Arabidopsis thaliana: one gene and its partner. The protein of the gene in region 1 interacts with the protein of each later gene in a pairwise test. Each region holds a gene or a part of one and is shown in the gene's direction. Other genes may lie near its edges.

What was found.
Region 2: the proteins of MEA (region 1) and MET1 interact in a two-hybrid assay, tested with the Arabidopsis thaliana proteins (one study listed by BioGRID).

The regions. Positions count from the first base shown.
Region 1 is NC_003070.9:542,367-550,222, forward strand, and holds MEA (SET domain-containing protein), read left to right. Parts: upstream 1-2,366; 5' UTR 2,367-2,429; coding exon 2,430-2,438; intron 2,439-2,606; coding exon 2,607-2,696; intron 2,697-3,265; coding exon 3,266-3,597; intron 3,598-3,695; coding exon 3,696-3,869; intron 3,870-3,946; coding exon 3,947-4,034; intron 4,035-4,145; coding exon 4,146-4,271; intron 4,272-4,360; coding exon 4,361-4,408; intron 4,409-4,504; coding exon 4,505-4,573; intron 4,574-4,657; coding exon 4,658-4,806; intron 4,807-4,881; coding exon 4,882-5,008; intron 5,009-5,096; coding exon 5,097-5,305; intron 5,306-5,381; coding exon 5,382-5,513; intron 5,514-5,603; coding exon 5,604-5,685; intron 5,686-5,767; coding exon 5,768-5,815; coding exon of another isoform or gene 5,816-5,887; exon of another isoform or gene 5,888-5,888; intron 5,889-5,944; coding exon 5,945-6,073; intron 6,074-6,158; coding exon 6,159-6,236; intron 6,237-6,448; coding exon 6,449-6,628; 3' UTR 6,629-6,836; downstream 6,837-7,856. Other genes in the region: AT1G02575 (uncharacterized protein), read left to right, coding at 787-1,617. UniProt on the Arabidopsis thaliana protein: Polycomb group (PcG) protein. Catalytic subunit of some PcG multiprotein complex, which methylates 'Lys-27' of histone H3, leading to transcriptional repression of the affected target genes.
Region 2 is NC_003076.8:19,929,631-19,938,554, forward strand, and holds MET1 (methyltransferase 1), read left to right. Parts: upstream 1-2,483; 5' UTR 2,484-2,645; intron 2,646-2,859; 5' UTR 2,860-2,870; coding exon 2,871-4,321; intron 4,322-4,405; coding exon 4,406-5,930; intron 5,931-6,029; coding exon 6,030-6,194; intron 6,195-6,343; coding exon 6,344-6,539; intron 6,540-6,619; coding exon 6,620-6,731; intron 6,732-6,812; coding exon 6,813-6,960; intron 6,961-7,042; coding exon 7,043-7,240; intron 7,241-7,371; coding exon 7,372-7,650; intron 7,651-7,761; coding exon 7,762-7,923; intron 7,924-8,034; coding exon 8,035-8,253; intron 8,254-8,406; coding exon 8,407-8,556; 3' UTR 8,557-8,840; downstream 8,841-8,924.

The DNA.
Region 1 (7,856 bases):
TAAAGATAATCATTGAACATTAATTTAAGTGGATCTTAAGTCTTTTTATAGTTATGTTTATAACACGTGCATAATATATATACGTAGTCACTTTTTAAGAAAACTTTGGACATTTAGTTAACGTTATAAAGAGTAAAAAATTTTAAAATATTAGAGTAAAGAGTAATTTACGTTTTAACACAAGGATTTATAACGAACTCTCGAGAGCTTGAATTTATCCTCTTTTCCAAAAAATTATTTTATTTTTAATCTATTTATAATATTATGTACAACACACATTTAATCTTAAAAAAATAAAGATATCAATGAACTTTATCCATGTAATGGTCAAACACTAGATATGTTGGGAACGTTGGATCCATTATTTTTAAAAATCAAATTTTTTCATATCTATTATTTGTTTCAAAGAAAAAAAAAACACACGACGATTATCCATCTGCCGGCTGTGTTCATCGGTAAACCTATATTTTAAAACTGGTGGGCTTTTCATTACCATAAGTTTGGACATGTTTTTATAATTTGATGTATAGTGTAGACCAAAAAATAGAGAAATAAGAAAGGGAACCTTTGTGGTGATTGTAACAAAACAGAAATCATTATATTGAATCATTCGAAAAGACGAAAAGATCAAACCTTTGTAGCTAGATGACCATAGACGTGGCTGCCAATTACAGTCTTAATGCTTTTATATAGATCTTTCTTACATCCTCTGTTCCTTCACATTCAAGAAACAGTATCATCCCATTTTCTTTCTTCTTCTCAGTGTTTCAATCTTTGCGAATTAAGATGGAACATGAAGAAACACAAAAGAACACAAGAAACAGCTGGTCCCTGATTCGACCATTTCAAATGATCTCCATTAGCTTTCTTAGCCTCCTCCTCCCTCTATCTTTCCTCTTTCTTTCACGTCTCTCTCTCTATACCTCCTCAACTCCGGTCACCGTCTCCGGCGTTTCCTCTGTTATTCACCAGGCAGATGTCGGAGTCTTATACACGATCTTGTTTCTCATCATCGTCTTCACTTTAATCCACAGTCTCTCAGGAAAACCAGAATGCTCTGTTCTCCATTCCCATCTCTACATCTGCTGGATCGTTCTCTTCATCGCCCAAGCTTGTGCCTTTGGGATCAAAAGAACCATGAGCACGACCATGTCTATAAATCCAGACAAAAACTTGTTTCTTGCGACACATGAAAGATGGATGTTGGTTAGGGTTTTGTTCTTTTTGGGGCTACACGAAGTGATGCTGATGTGGTTTAGAGTCGTGGTTAAGCCTGTGGTTGACAACACTATATATGGGGTCTACGTGGAGGAGAGGTGGTCCGAGAGAGCCGTTGTGGCAGTGACCTTTGGTATAATGTGGTGGTGGAGGCTAAGAGATGAGGTAGAAAGTCTTGTGGTGGTGGTTACGGCGGATAGACTTAACCTCCCCATTCGTTTGGAGGGTCTCAATTTTGTGAACTGGTGTATGTATTACATCTGTGTTGGAATTGGTTTAATGAAGATCTTCAAAGGGTTTTTGGATTTTGTGAATACGTTGACTTTGAGCATTAAGAGGTCGAGAAAAGGCTGTGAATCATGTGTTTTTGATGATATGTGTAATGATGATCATGTGTAAGATATTTGACATATTATACTCATCTCTTGAATGTTTTTGAGATTTTTTTATTTTTATTTTCTATTTCTTGCTAGGAATTTAACCCGTATATATGTCACAAAAATAGTAGAATATCAGAAAGCAAAAATATTTTATCTAAAAATAACCATTGAACATTAATTTAAGTCTTTTTATAATTATATTTTTATAACACACCCTTTTTAAGAAAAACTTGGAGATTTAATTAACGTTATAAATAGTAAAAAATATCGGATTTACGTAGAAGTTTTAAATGCGTATAATTAAATTTACGAATTGAATAATATAGCCATATATATATTTTTGAAGATTTAAACTCATTTTGTTTCTTCCATATATGCATAATATATAAGCTTAAATAGAAAACTAGCTAGGAATGAATACTAATATATATAATGACATTAATATAAGTCTTACCGGACACTCCAAAATGTATATATTGATCTATCAACATTTTTTCATTGGTTTACTAAACCAAGTTGTCACATAAATATGAGTTAACGCCTTTTTTTTTATAATATTGTATATGAATTTAAACTTGAGCTGTCAAACGTCAAGCAAACCCAACATCTACATACATATAGTACTATATTTTGAAAATTAAAATTTTCTTAAATTTCCCATATTATTTTCCTTTTAAAGCAAGCAAGTCCAAATACGTTTCTTCCAGATTATAATTTTCCTTAATAAGGTTTTCTACAAAAAAAAATCAACTTCTTATTTAAAAAACCCTTTGCATTATCCTTTTCACCAACATCAGAGAAGACGAGAAAAAAAGAAGAGGCGAGTGGTTAATGGAGAAGGTTAGTTTCACTCCAAACATATATGAATTGACTAGGTTATGAAATCCATATATTTTAATTGTGTGTTTATGATAGATCAATAACATTTAGGGTTGAATTTTCTTGTGATCTATTATGTTATTCGTCCCATGCATGATCCATAAAACTTTTATTTTTGAATTTGTCTAGGAAAACCATGAGGACGATGGTGAGGGTTTGCCACCCGAACTAAATCAGATAAAAGAGCAAATCGAAAAGGAGAGATTTCTGCATATCAAGGTAAGAGACATTTGGTTGCTTTAATATTTTATTCTCTTCTGTATGTTTTTCTGAAAATTAAGGAGAGGAGAGGACTTAATCTCATAACTATACGATTCCAAAGAGATGTTAAGATACATCTAATAAACAGTTATACATTAGTCATAATCTTTAAAACTAAAAAGAGAAATTTCCAAACTTTTAAATTAAAAACAGAATTTAGAAAATGCCAGCGAATCGATAACGACATCCAGATCTGTCGGGTATCCAAAACTTAGAATAAAAAAATAATTAATATATTTATAATATAAAGCTGGAACTTAGGTTATAAAATAAAATTGAAAATAATAGTAGATTTTTTTGTTTTTGTCAAACAAAATAGTAATACAATTTGTTTTTTTTAGTACAAAGAAACTAAATAGGTCCAAATTGTTTTTTTTTTAACATTCAGCCAAAAAAGCCAAGATTGATGCATATATCAAGAAATCGAAATCAAAACTTTTGTATTCAAGTATTCTAGTTTCACTATATATAGAGTCCAGTTTCTGAAATTTAAAAAATCATTTACCTATATATTACTTGATTAACAGAGAAAATTCGAGCTGAGATACATTCCAAGTGTGGCTACTCATGCTTCACACCATCAATCGTTTGACTTAAACCAGCCCGCTGCAGAGGATGATAATGGAGGAGACAACAAATCACTTTTGTCGAGAATGCAAAACCCACTTCGTCATTTCAGTGCCTCATCTGATTATAATTCTTACGAAGATCAAGGTTATGTTCTTGATGAGGATCAAGATTATGCTCTTGAAGAAGATGTACCATTATTTCTTGATGAAGATGTACCATTATTACCAAGTGTCAAGCTTCCAATTGTTGAGAAGCTACCACGATCCATTACATGGGTCTTCACCAAAAGGCATGTGTGTTTTTTGTTTCGTACTAGTTTCAAAATATTAATCATATACTATATAGTAATCACTCATAGTGCATATATACATTTCTTTAACATTGCAGTAGCCAGCTGATGGCTGAAAGTGATTCTGTGATTGGTAAGAGACAAATCTATTATTTGAATGGTGAGGCACTAGAATTGAGCAGTGAAGAAGATGAGGAAGATGAAGAAGAAGATGAGGAAGAAATCAAGAAAGAAAAATGCGAATTTTCTGAAGATGTAGACCGATTTATATGGTTAGTTTTTGCATTACATATGTTCTTGATTATTAATTTGTAGTCCATATTTAATAAACTGCTCAAGAAATTTTCAGGACGGTTGGGCAGGACTATGGTTTGGATGATCTGGTCGTGCGGCGTGCTCTCGCCAAGTACCTCGAAGTGGATGTTTCGGACATATTGGTAACAATATTCGAATAAAAACTTCATACGTCGATCAATAACTTTCCTGCTTATTTAATTTTTGTTGTTTTTCGTCGTGAGAAATGTTTTAAATTTTCAAATCTAATGTAGGAAAGATACAATGAACTCAAGCTTAAGAATGATGGAACTGCTGGTGAGGCTTCTGATTTGACATCCAAGACAATAACTACTGCTTTCCAGGATTTTGCTGATAGACGTCATTGCCGTCGTTGCATGGTAACTTTGAATCTTTCTTTTTTAATTTAGCCACAAAAAAGGGAGATGATCATACATGTTTTTATTTTATTTTATCATTTGTTTTACAGATATTCGATTGTCATATGCATGAGAAGTATGAGCCCGAGTCTAGATCCGTAAGCATTAAATTCATTTAAATTATTTTGTTAGTTTCACAACCCTTATATATAAGGTTAAGTGATTAACTTAATTAGATTGCTTTGGCTTGTCAGAGCGAAGACAAATCTAGTTTGTTTGAGGATGAAGATAGACAACCATGCAGTGAGCATTGTTACCTCAAGGTCTCTATCTCTCTCCCTCTCTCTCTCAATTTTTTTGTCTATTCCTTAATTACGTTTATTAGTTACTGGTTTAATATTAAATAGGTGAGGAGTGTGACAGAAGCTGATCATGTGATGGATAATGATAACTCTATATCAAACAAGATTGTGGTCTCAGATCCAAACAACACTATGTGGACGCCTGTAGAGAAGGATCTTTACTTGAAAGGAATTGAGATATTTGGGAGAAACAGGTAAAAAAATAAAAATAGATTTAATGCATTAATATATATACTTACACTGTATTCCTTGATTATGCTGGTTCGCAGTTGTGATGTTGCATTAAACATACTTCGGGGGCTTAAGACGTGCCTAGAGATTTACAATTACATGCGCGAACAAGATCAATGTACTATGTCATTAGACCTTAACAAAACTACACAAAGACACAATCAGGTACACTAACCTATGTCGTAATTATTCTCATGACATGTATGTTAAAAACACATGAAGTTTCCTATATGTGTTGATGGTTTTATCACAGGTTACCAAAAAAGTATCTCGAAAAAGTAGTAGGTCGGTCCGCAAAAAATCGAGACTCCGAAAATATGCTCGTTATCCGCCTGCTTTAAAGAAAACAACTAGTGGAGAAGCTAAGTTTTATAAGCACTACACACCATGCACTTGCAAGTCAAAATGTGGACAGCAATGCCCTTGTTTAACTCACGAAAATTGCTGCGAGAAATATTGCGGGTATGTCATTCAATTTTTCCTAAGCCGGAAGATCCATGAGATTTAATTTGAACATGAGTTTGTATTTTTTGTTCAGGTGCTCAAAGGATTGCAACAATCGCTTTGGAGGATGTAATTGTGCAATTGGCCAATGCACAAATCGACAATGTCCTTGTTTTGCTGCTAATCGTGAATGCGATCCAGATCTTTGTCGGAGTTGTCCTCTTAGGTAACACTTTCACTTCAATATCTCTTTATACAAATTCTATAATCAAAGTAATTCAAACCAAAAGTCTTATAAAAAAAACTTTATATATAGCTGTGGAGATGGCACTCTTGGTGAGACACCAGTGCAAATCCAATGCAAGAACATGCAATTCCTCCTTCAAACCAATAAAAAGGTAATCAACGTCAAATCCGTACCGAAAATTTAAAACTAATTATACGAAAGACATTTAACTATCATTTCCCGTATTTTACTAGATTCTCATTGGAAAGTCTGATGTTCATGGATGGGGTGCATTTACATGGGTAAGCAATCATGTAAATATAAGAATAAGTTTAATAGTTATTGGTGCATTCATAACACTTTTTTTTTTTTAATAATGTTTTATACTTTAGACCATTAAATATATTGTGTGATATGGTTTGACCCGTCAGGACTCTCTTAAAAAGAATGAGTATCTCGGAGAATATACTGGAGAACTGATCACTCATGATGAAGCTAATGAGCGTGGGAGAATAGAAGATCGGATTGGTTCTTCCTACCTCTTTACCTTGAATGATCAGGTAACTTCAGAATAATTTTGAAGTAACGTTTTAATCATTCGCGGGTTACACATCTATTCGAATCAAAGTAACATTTATTTTACAGCTCGAAATCGATGCTCGCCGTAAAGGAAACGAGTTCAAATTTCTCAATCACTCAGCAAGACCTAACTGCTACGCCAAGGTACTAAGCCGTTATACTTTATCTTGAACAAATACTAACATTATACAAACAAAAATACTTATGTTAGTTTCTTTAGTTAAATCGTGTATCAACTTTACTCGTCGTTGATTGGTTTTCATATTGAAGATATTCCAAGAAACTCAAACTCATTTTAAATGATTTTTTCTTGTCGAGAAAATTTAGGTTACGAAAATTTATGGTTTCGTGTGCAGTTGATGATTGTGAGAGGAGATCAGAGGATTGGTCTATTTGCGGAGAGAGCAATCGAAGAAGGTGAGGAGCTTTTCTTCGACTACTGCTATGGACCAGAACATGCGGATTGGTCGCGTGGTCGAGAACCTAGAAAGACTGGTGCTTCTAAAAGGTCTAAGGAAGCCCGTCCAGCTCGTTAGTTTTTGATCTGAGGAGAAGCAGCAATTCAAGCAGTCCTTTTTTTATGTTATGGTATATCAATTAATAATGTAATGCTATTTTGTGTTACTAAACCAAAACTTAAGTTTCTGTTTTATTTGTTTTAGGGTGTTTTGTTTGTATCATATGTGTCTTAACTTTCAAAGTTTTCTTTTTGTATTTCAATTTAAAAACAATGTTTATGTTGTTAGTTTGCATAGACCTTTGGAAAAAAAAAGCTTTGCACAACTTTACATTTATTTAGTCTTCATTTAGCGAAAAATCACATAACACAAGTCTGTGGTACGTAATGTACAAAAATGTCAAAATAATGGGTTTTATCATTAAAAAAAAATATTGGTTATGAATGAAGTATAGTTAGAATTTTAGGTATTAGCTCGTTTGGTTTTAAAACGTTTTTCGAGATTTAATTTTGTAGTCTATTGAGTAATACATGGAAGAATCATCAACAAAGTGGCTGTAGCTTACGAAAGGTTTTACTTTAATGTAAATATGTATTTGATGCATCTAACATTTAGTATCTAAACAAATAAAAACAAAAAAAAAGAAAAAAGCTCTTTAAAATCCGAAAGTAACTATTTTCAAAAAATCTAAATTATAAACTTAAATGTTTGGAATCGCGAACGACTATTGCTAAATATAAATGCTAAATATACATGAAGATGTGAAAAACATGTTGGATTTGTGGAATCGTTAATGACCACGGTTAAATGGCGGGATCCAAAATCCGGTTAGATTTCACAATGTCATATTACGTCATATTAATTTAGTATTTATAAAAAAAACCTTTTAAAAAAAATGAGTTGAAAATCTTTTAAGAAAATAAAAAATAAAATAAATGCTAAATATACATGAAGATGTGAAAAACATGTTGGATTTGTGGAATCGTTAATGACCACGGTTAAATGGCGGGATCCAAAATCTGGTTAGATTTCACAACGCCATATTAATTTAGTATTTATAAAAAAACTTTTTTAAAAAAATGAGTTAAAATCTTTTAAAAAAATAAAATAAAAAATAAATGCTAAATATACATGAAGATGTGAAAACATGTTGGATTTGTAGAATCGCTAATGACCACGGTTAAATGGCGGGATCCAAAATCTGGTTAGATTTCACAATGTCATATTAATTTAATATTTATAAAAAAACTTTTTTTAAAAATGAGTTGAAAATCTTTTAAGAAAATAAAATAAAAAATAAATGCTA
Region 2 (8,924 bases), on another chromosome or scaffold:
ATCTAAGTTGGTTAAGCTTGTTTGTTATTATAGTTGAAAAATCCATTCACAGTAGCTAGAGTTGTTTTTGTTAGTGATGACTATAATGGTAAACTTTTTCTCCCTCAATCTATACGAAGAGTGAGAATTCTCTTATTCCCTCCATACACATATATACACAACCTTTCTGTAAACTAAGTTTGGGTTTGCCTTTACTTATTTTGGCAGAGGATCGGAGAGATCCCCGAGACTGTGGAGATGGAGCGTGGTGATCTCTACGTTACAAGATTGTATAAAGAGCAATCGAATCTGGCCAAATTGACTTTTGTGTAGTGAATTTTTATATTGTACGAGCTTCCTAATGTCTTGATAGAAACTTTTACTCTGTAGATCGTGCATTATCGAATTTTGTTGTTGTTGTCATCTGTGTTTCTATTAATAATGCCATTAAAAGATATAAGAAGGAACTAAATAAGTTTGCGAAAAAAAAAAAATCCCCACAAACTATGCTCAAAATTGAAAGATAAATAAGTATATTAATTTGAGGTTTTCAATGTATATAAATCTGATTAACTCATATGATTATTCATTTAATAGATTTACTAGATCATAACCCGTGCTATACAGCACGAGCATTAATATTTTGTATAAATTAAATTGTATACTTTGTTTGAATTACATAAAAAATAGTATAGTATAAAAGTGATGCCATAATATTTTTCAATGTTTTACTATTTACATATAATGCTGCATTAGATTGACTTTGTTTAAAAATGTTATTGTTATAATAAATACAACATATGTAGTTTTAAGTAAATGTGTAAAATTTGTATAGAAGTTATTTTGGTAAGAAACATGTTTCCTTTGTATTAGAGGATCTAATTTTTGGCCTAATTTAGAATTAGTTTTTGTATAGTATTTTGGTTATATTTGTGGACCTAATTGGGGCCTATATTAGATTATCTTTAATAGGGCTGACGAAAAAACGGACCCGATAACCAACCCAATACTCGAACCAAAAAATCGGGTTAGGGCGGGTTAAAATTTTAGGAAATTTCCTTATTGGGTAGAGTTTTAGTAAACCCGTGGATATCCGATTGGACCGGAAATTACCCGTTATCTAAAAAGAGTATTCAAAAACCCAAACATTAATTTAATATCCAAAATATTAATTATATGATATTATTTTATTTGATTTTAAATATATAGTAAACTGCGAGTTGTATATGTTTTCTTGATATTATTTATATTGTTTAGTGTTTAAAATTATACACTTGTATTTTGATTGTTAATTTTAGAGTTTCACCTGTAGTATACCATCTTATATTAATATCGATTTAAACCCGTCAATTCTAGGATTTTCCAGCTTGTATTAAAAATTGAATCACATCATACACATAAAAAAATCTAATATGTTATTAATTATTGTTGTATATAAGATTATAAATTCTTAAAATAATATGCATGAAATTGAATATAAATATTTAAATTATGACCCAGTACTTAGTAATAAATTTTTTTAAATCTATTTTTGACCCGTTATAATATTTTTTTATGTATTGAACAGTTTATATTCGTTTTTAAAAGTTTAAATTATGGCATATGCGAAAAAACTCTAATTATTTTTTTATAACGATGATATTATTTTTTCGCAAAAATAGAATCATATAAAGATGAGAGGTGAACTATAATAATTAATAAAAAATTAATATGATAATTTAGATATTAAATCTAATTTGTTGATTTTAATTGGTTAATTTTTTGGAAATTAATAATGTATTTCATTTTTTAATGAAATTTAATTAATTAAATTAGTATTTGACTTTTTAATTTTTAAAGAGATGAATTACTTTACTCTTTAAATTTTATTTCTAATGGCATACATATGTAATTACTTACAAAAAGTAAGGTTACATTTAAAATGTACTTCCCAAATAATATAGTAGGATCATGGTAAAATGTTAGTTCTCGAAAGAAAAAATATTGTTATAAATCATAAACCTAACGAGCTAACTAAAATAGCGGCATCCTACCAATTTGAGATTTTTCGTATATATATTAAAATTATCCATTTGATAAACACTTCATGATAAAGTATTAGTTTTGAAAATAAAAATATTGTTCTTGTTATAAGAAAAAACACACACATAAAAGTATTATTGGAGGATCTCATTGTTAAGTTGTTAACCCTCAACATTTCGTCTAAAAATCAGACTTTTTTCTATCAAAAAAATATCTATACTTTGTAGTCAAATAAAAATCTTAATCAAAATAATACTCGTATACTTTGACTGTTGACTGATGGAAAGATATTAGAATATAAACATTAGAGATAGAAACAAATCTGTAAAAATCTTAAAATTAGGATTATTTATACGGAATATTCCCCAAAAGATAAAATCATTGAATCATAAAAAGCCATTTATGGTAGCCCTAAATATTCAGGCGCGGCTTTTTTTCTTATTTCGTTTTCATTTTAAAAAAGTTTTTAGCGCCGTTTATTGCCGCGCGTCGTTTTCGCTCCTCGTCTCGTCTCCTTTTATTATTACCCCCTCTCTCTCTCTCCCACTCTTCCTCTCAAATCACACATCACTGCTTTCTTCAACCTCTCTATCTCTCAGACCAATTAGGGTTTCGCAATCTTCCAGTAGATTTCGCTTCTCAACGTAAGTTTTTCTCTATAATCTGTGTCGATTTCAGTCTAACTACAGTGATTGTTAAACCCTAGACTCGGAAATTTTCCTGGGCTTTGTTATTATTTGCGTCGGTTTAGTCAATGCGATGTAGTGAACGCTTCGATTACATAGATTTGTGTGAAAATTTTATAGTCCAATTGCGTTATAGTGATGATTTTGTTGGTAATTTTGATTTTGAAACTAGGGATTTTGAAAATGGTGGAAAATGGGGCTAAAGCTGCGAAGCGAAAGAAGAGACCACTTCCAGAGATTCAAGAGGTAGAAGATGTACCTAGGACGAGGAGACCAAGGCGTGCTGCAGCGTGTACCAGTTTCAAGGAGAAATCTATTCGAGTCTGTGAGAAATCTGCTACTATTGAAGTAAAGAAACAGCAGATTGTGGAGGAAGAGTTTCTCGCGTTACGGTTAACGGCTCTGGAAACTGATGTTGAAGATCGTCCAACCAGGAGACTGAATGATTTTGTTTTGTTTGATTCAGATGGAGTTCCACAACCTCTGGAGATGTTGGAGATTCATGACATATTCGTTTCAGGTGCTATCTTACCTTCAGATGTGTGTACTGATAAGGAGAAAGAGAAGGGTGTGAGGTGTACATCGTTTGGACGGGTTGAGCATTGGAGTATCTCTGGTTATGAAGATGGTTCCCCTGTTATTTGGATCTCAACGGAATTGGCGGATTATGATTGTCGTAAACCTGCTGCTAGCTACAGGAAGGTTTATGATTACTTCTATGAGAAAGCTCGTGCTTCAGTGGCTGTGTATAAGAAATTGTCCAAGTCATCTGGTGGGGATCCTGATATAGGTCTTGAGGAGTTACTTGCGGCGGTTGTCAGATCAATGAGCAGTGGAAGCAAGTACTTTTCTAGTGGTGCGGCAATCATCGATTTTGTTATATCCCAGGGAGATTTTATATATAACCAACTCGCTGGTTTGGATGAGACAGCCAAGAAACATGAATCAAGCTATGTTGAGATTCCTGTTCTTGTAGCTCTCAGAGAGAAGAGTAGTAAGATTGACAAGCCTCTGCAGAGGGAAAGAAACCCATCTAATGGTGTGAGGATTAAAGAAGTTTCTCAAGTTGCGGAGAGCGAGGCCTTGACATCTGATCAACTGGTTGATGGTACTGATGATGACAGAAGATATGCTATACTCTTACAAGACGAAGAGAATAGGAAATCTATGCAACAGCCCAGAAAAAACAGCAGCTCAGGTTCTGCTTCAAATATGTTCTACATTAAGATAAATGAAGATGAGATTGCCAATGATTATCCTCTCCCATCGTACTATAAGACCTCCGAAGAAGAAACAGATGAACTTATACTTTATGATGCTTCCTATGAGGTTCAATCTGAACACCTGCCTCACAGGATGCTTCACAACTGGGCTCTTTATAACTCTGATTTACGATTCATATCACTGGAACTTCTACCGATGAAACAATGTGATGATATTGATGTCAACATTTTTGGGTCAGGTGTGGTGACTGATGATAATGGAAGTTGGATTTCTTTAAACGATCCTGACAGCGGTTCTCAGTCACACGATCCTGATGGGATGTGCATATTCCTCAGTCAAATTAAAGAATGGATGATTGAGTTTGGGAGCGATGATATTATCTCCATTTCTATACGAACAGATGTGGCCTGGTAAGCTTACTATCCTAGTATTTTGTACTCGCATGTTTCTACGTCTGTTTTTTCTTCTGTTGCTGATGTATAAGGTATATACAGGTACCGTCTTGGGAAACCATCAAAACTTTATGCCCCTTGGTGGAAACCTGTTCTGAAAACAGCAAGGGTTGGGATAAGCATTCTTACTTTTCTTAGGGTGGAAAGTAGGGTTGCTAGGCTTTCATTTGCAGATGTCACAAAAAGACTGTCTGGGTTACAGGCGAATGATAAAGCTTACATTTCTTCTGACCCCTTGGCTGTTGAGAGATATTTGGTCGTCCATGGGCAAATTATTTTACAGCTTTTTGCAGTTTATCCGGACGACAATGTCAAAAGGTGTCCATTTGTTGTTGGTCTTGCAAGCAAATTGGAGGATAGGCACCACACAAAATGGATCATCAAGAAGAAGAAAATTTCGCTGAAGGAACTGAATCTGAATCCAAGGGCAGGCATGGCACCAGTAGCATCGAAGAGGAAAGCTATGCAAGCAACAACAACTCGCCTGGTCAACAGAATTTGGGGAGAGTTTTACTCCAATTACTCTCCAGAGGATCCATTGCAGGCGACTGCTGCAGAAAATGGGGAGGATGAGGTGGAAGAGGAAGGCGGAAATGGGGAGGAAGAGGTTGAAGAGGAAGGTGAAAATGGTCTCACAGAGGACACTGTACCAGAACCTGTTGAGGTTCAGAAGCCTCATACTCCTAAGAAAATCCGAGGCAGTTCTGGAAAAAGGGAAATAAAATGGGATGGTGAGAGTCTAGGAAAAACTTCTGCTGGCGAGCCTCTCTATCAACAAGCCCTTGTTGGAGGGGAAATGGTGGCTGTAGGTGGCGCTGTCACCTTGGAAGTTGATGATCCAGATGAAATGCCGGCCATCTATTTTGTGGAGTACATGTTCGAAAGTACAGATCACTGCAAAATGTTACATGGTAGATTCTTACAAAGAGGATCTATGACTGTTCTGGGGAATGCTGCTAACGAGAGGGAACTATTCCTGACTAATGAATGCATGACTACACAGCTCAAGGACATTAAAGGAGTAGCCAGTTTTGAGATTCGATCAAGGCCATGGGGGCATCAGTATAGGAAAAAGAACATCACTGCGGATAAGCTTGACTGGGCTAGAGCATTAGAAAGAAAAGTAAAAGATTTGCCAACAGAGTATTACTGCAAAAGCTTGTACTCACCTGAGAGAGGGGGATTCTTTAGTCTTCCACTAAGTGATATTGGTCGCAGTTCTGGGTTCTGCACTTCATGTAAGATAAGGGAGGATGAAGAGAAGAGGTCTACAATTAAACTAAATGTTTCAAAGACAGGCTTTTTCATCAATGGGATTGAGTATTCTGTTGAGGATTTTGTCTATGTCAACCCTGACTCTATTGGTGGGTTGAAGGAGGGTAGTAAAACTTCTTTTAAGTCTGGGCGAAACATTGGGTTAAGAGCGTATGTTGTTTGCCAATTGCTGGAAATTGTTCCAAAGGAATCTAGAAAGGCTGATTTGGGTTCCTTTGATGTTAAAGTGAGAAGGTTTTATAGGCCTGAGGATGTTTCTGCAGAGAAGGCCTATGCTTCAGACATCCAAGAAGTAAGAACTATTTTTTATATCTGGTAATGTGTTCAGTGGTGAGGTTTCTTCATAAGTTTATCTGACAATCTTTTTTCTTTCTTTTTGCAATTTCTTAAGTTGTATTTCAGCCAGGACACAGTTGTTCTCCCTCCAGGTGCTCTAGAGGGAAAATGTGAAGTAAGAAAGAAAAGTGATATGCCCTTATCCCGTGAATATCCAATATCAGACCATATTTTCTTCTGTGATCTTTTCTTTGACACCTCCAAAGGTTCTCTCAAGCAGGTATATACCTCTCTTCACTTCGTATTTGTCAATTATTTGTGTACCTAGTTTCTTAAGGAATTCATATAGTTGTGTCTAGGATTTATATGTTATGATTATTGTTGTTCTGATACAAAGTTGAACTTTTTCTCTATACTGTCTTGTAACAGCTGCCCGCCAATATGAAGCCAAAGTTCTCTACTATTAAGGACGACACACTTTTAAGAAAGAAAAAGGGAAAGGGAGTAGAGAGTGAAATTGAGTCTGAGATTGTCAAGCCTGTTGAGCCACCTAAAGAGATTCGTCTGGCTACTCTAGATATTTTTGCTGGTTGTGGTGGCCTGTCTCATGGACTGAAAAAGGCGGGTATGTATTATATCCAGTCAACTCTTAATCTTCCAAAATGCTTGAATAAGTTGTATTAATATTCATGCTATATGTAAAAGGTGTATCTGATGCAAAGTGGGCGATTGAGTATGAAGAGCCAGCTGGGCAGGCTTTTAAACAAAACCATCCTGAGTCAACAGTTTTTGTTGACAACTGCAATGTGATTCTTAGGTAAATAGCCAACAAGTTATCGCTTACTCTTTTAGTGTGGCTATTTTTTGCATTGTGATCAGTTGTTGTGATTAATTGCAGGGCTATAATGGAGAAAGGTGGAGATCAAGATGATTGTGTCTCTACTACAGAGGCAAATGAATTAGCAGCTAAACTAACTGAGGAGCAGAAGAGTACTCTGCCACTGCCTGGTCAAGTGGACTTCATCAATGGTGGACCTCCATGTCAGGTATATATTTCAGATTGTGGCTATACTTGTGTAAATTTTTCGTTGAATAAGTGAAAAGCCCTTAACCTGTGCAATTTGGCAGGGATTTTCTGGTATGAACAGGTTCAACCAAAGCTCTTGGAGTAAAGTTCAGTGTGAAATGATATTAGCATTCTTGTCCTTTGCTGACTATTTCCGGCCAAGGTATTTTCTTCTGGAGAACGTGAGGACCTTTGTGTCATTCAATAAAGGGCAGACATTTCAGCTTACTTTGGCTTCCCTTCTCGAAATGGGTTACCAGGTAAAGTCCTAACGCTTTTGTTAAATTGATTTCTCTTTAGTAGAAGTTGGCATGCTCTGTGAAGAATGGTTTGCGAAGTACAAAAATTGACTTAAATCTCTTAAATATGATGTTTCTATGATGTTTCCCAGGTGAGATTTGGAATCCTGGAGGCCGGTGCATATGGAGTATCCCAATCTCGTAAACGAGCTTTCATTTGGGCTGCTGCACCAGAAGAAGTTCTCCCTGAATGGCCTGAGCCGATGCATGTCTTTGGTGTTCCAAAGTTGAAAATCTCACTATCTCAAGGTTTACATTATGCTGCTGTTCGTAGTACTGCACTTGGTGCCCCTTTCCGTCCAATCACCGTGAGAGACACAATTGGTGATCTTCCATCAGTAGAAAACGGAGACTCTAGGACAAACAAAGAGGTATGATAACACATCTGGAGAAAATATCTATACATACATATTTGCTAAACACAAATGACGTGAACCCATTAATTTATTAATTTATGTGGGGGAAATTCTTGTTTCTTGCAGTATAAAGAGGTTGCAGTCTCGTGGTTCCAAAAGGAGATAAGAGGAAACACGATTGCTCTCACTGATCATATCTGCAAGGCTATGAATGAGCTTAACCTCATTCGATGCAAATTAATCCCAACTAGGCCTGGGGCTGATTGGCATGACTTGCCAAAGAGAAAGGTCAGTCTTATACATCCTACCTCAGGAATACCTTTGTCAGGTTGACTACGGTCAAAAGAATTGCTTTTGAAACTAGAAATCAACCCAAATCGCTTTGTTTTAATATCACAGGTTACGTTATCTGATGGGCGCGTAGAAGAAATGATTCCTTTTTGTCTCCCAAACACAGCTGAGCGCCACAACGGTTGGAAGGGACTATATGGGAGATTAGATTGGCAAGGAAACTTTCCGACTTCCGTCACGGATCCTCAGCCCATGGGTAAGGTTGGAATGTGCTTTCATCCTGAACAGCACAGAATCCTTACAGTCCGTGAATGCGCCCGATCTCAGGTAAGAAAAACTCTTCTGTTCCCAGTCAGTCCTATAGCATCAGTTACAGACTTAGAGATTGCAAAGCACTGAATGGTTTTGGGAGATAGAGTAGTAATGTTAGCTTTATCGATATGGCCTTTTAAGCGAAATTGTTGTTAATGAAAACTGCAGGGGTTTCCGGATAGCTACGAGTTTGCAGGGAACATAAATCACAAGCACAGGCAGATTGGGAATGCAGTCCCTCCACCATTGGCATTTGCTCTAGGTCGTAAGCTCAAAGAAGCCCTACATCTCAAGAAGTCTCCTCAACACCAACCCTAGATAACCACCCAAATTTGGCATTTCCTTTTTCAATAATATTAGTCATTATGATCCTTGTCTTGAATGAAACTCATTGGTGCTGATACTTTTGATAAAGAAAGCCTACGAAGAGTTTTTGTATATTCCGTATTCGGATTGAAAAATCTCATTATACAAGCAAGCAATGATGTCTATAGACTATGATTTATTTGCCTTGTGAATTGGGTTGAAATAATATTGCGTCGAAAATTTAAAGATATGAGAGACAGTTTCAATGATATTGCGTCGAAATAAAGTTTGTCCAGAACATGTAAAGGTTTCAGTCATCTATCAATTTTAGACTCTTGAAAAATGCACTGTACAACAGTTAATAATAATATAAACTTCAA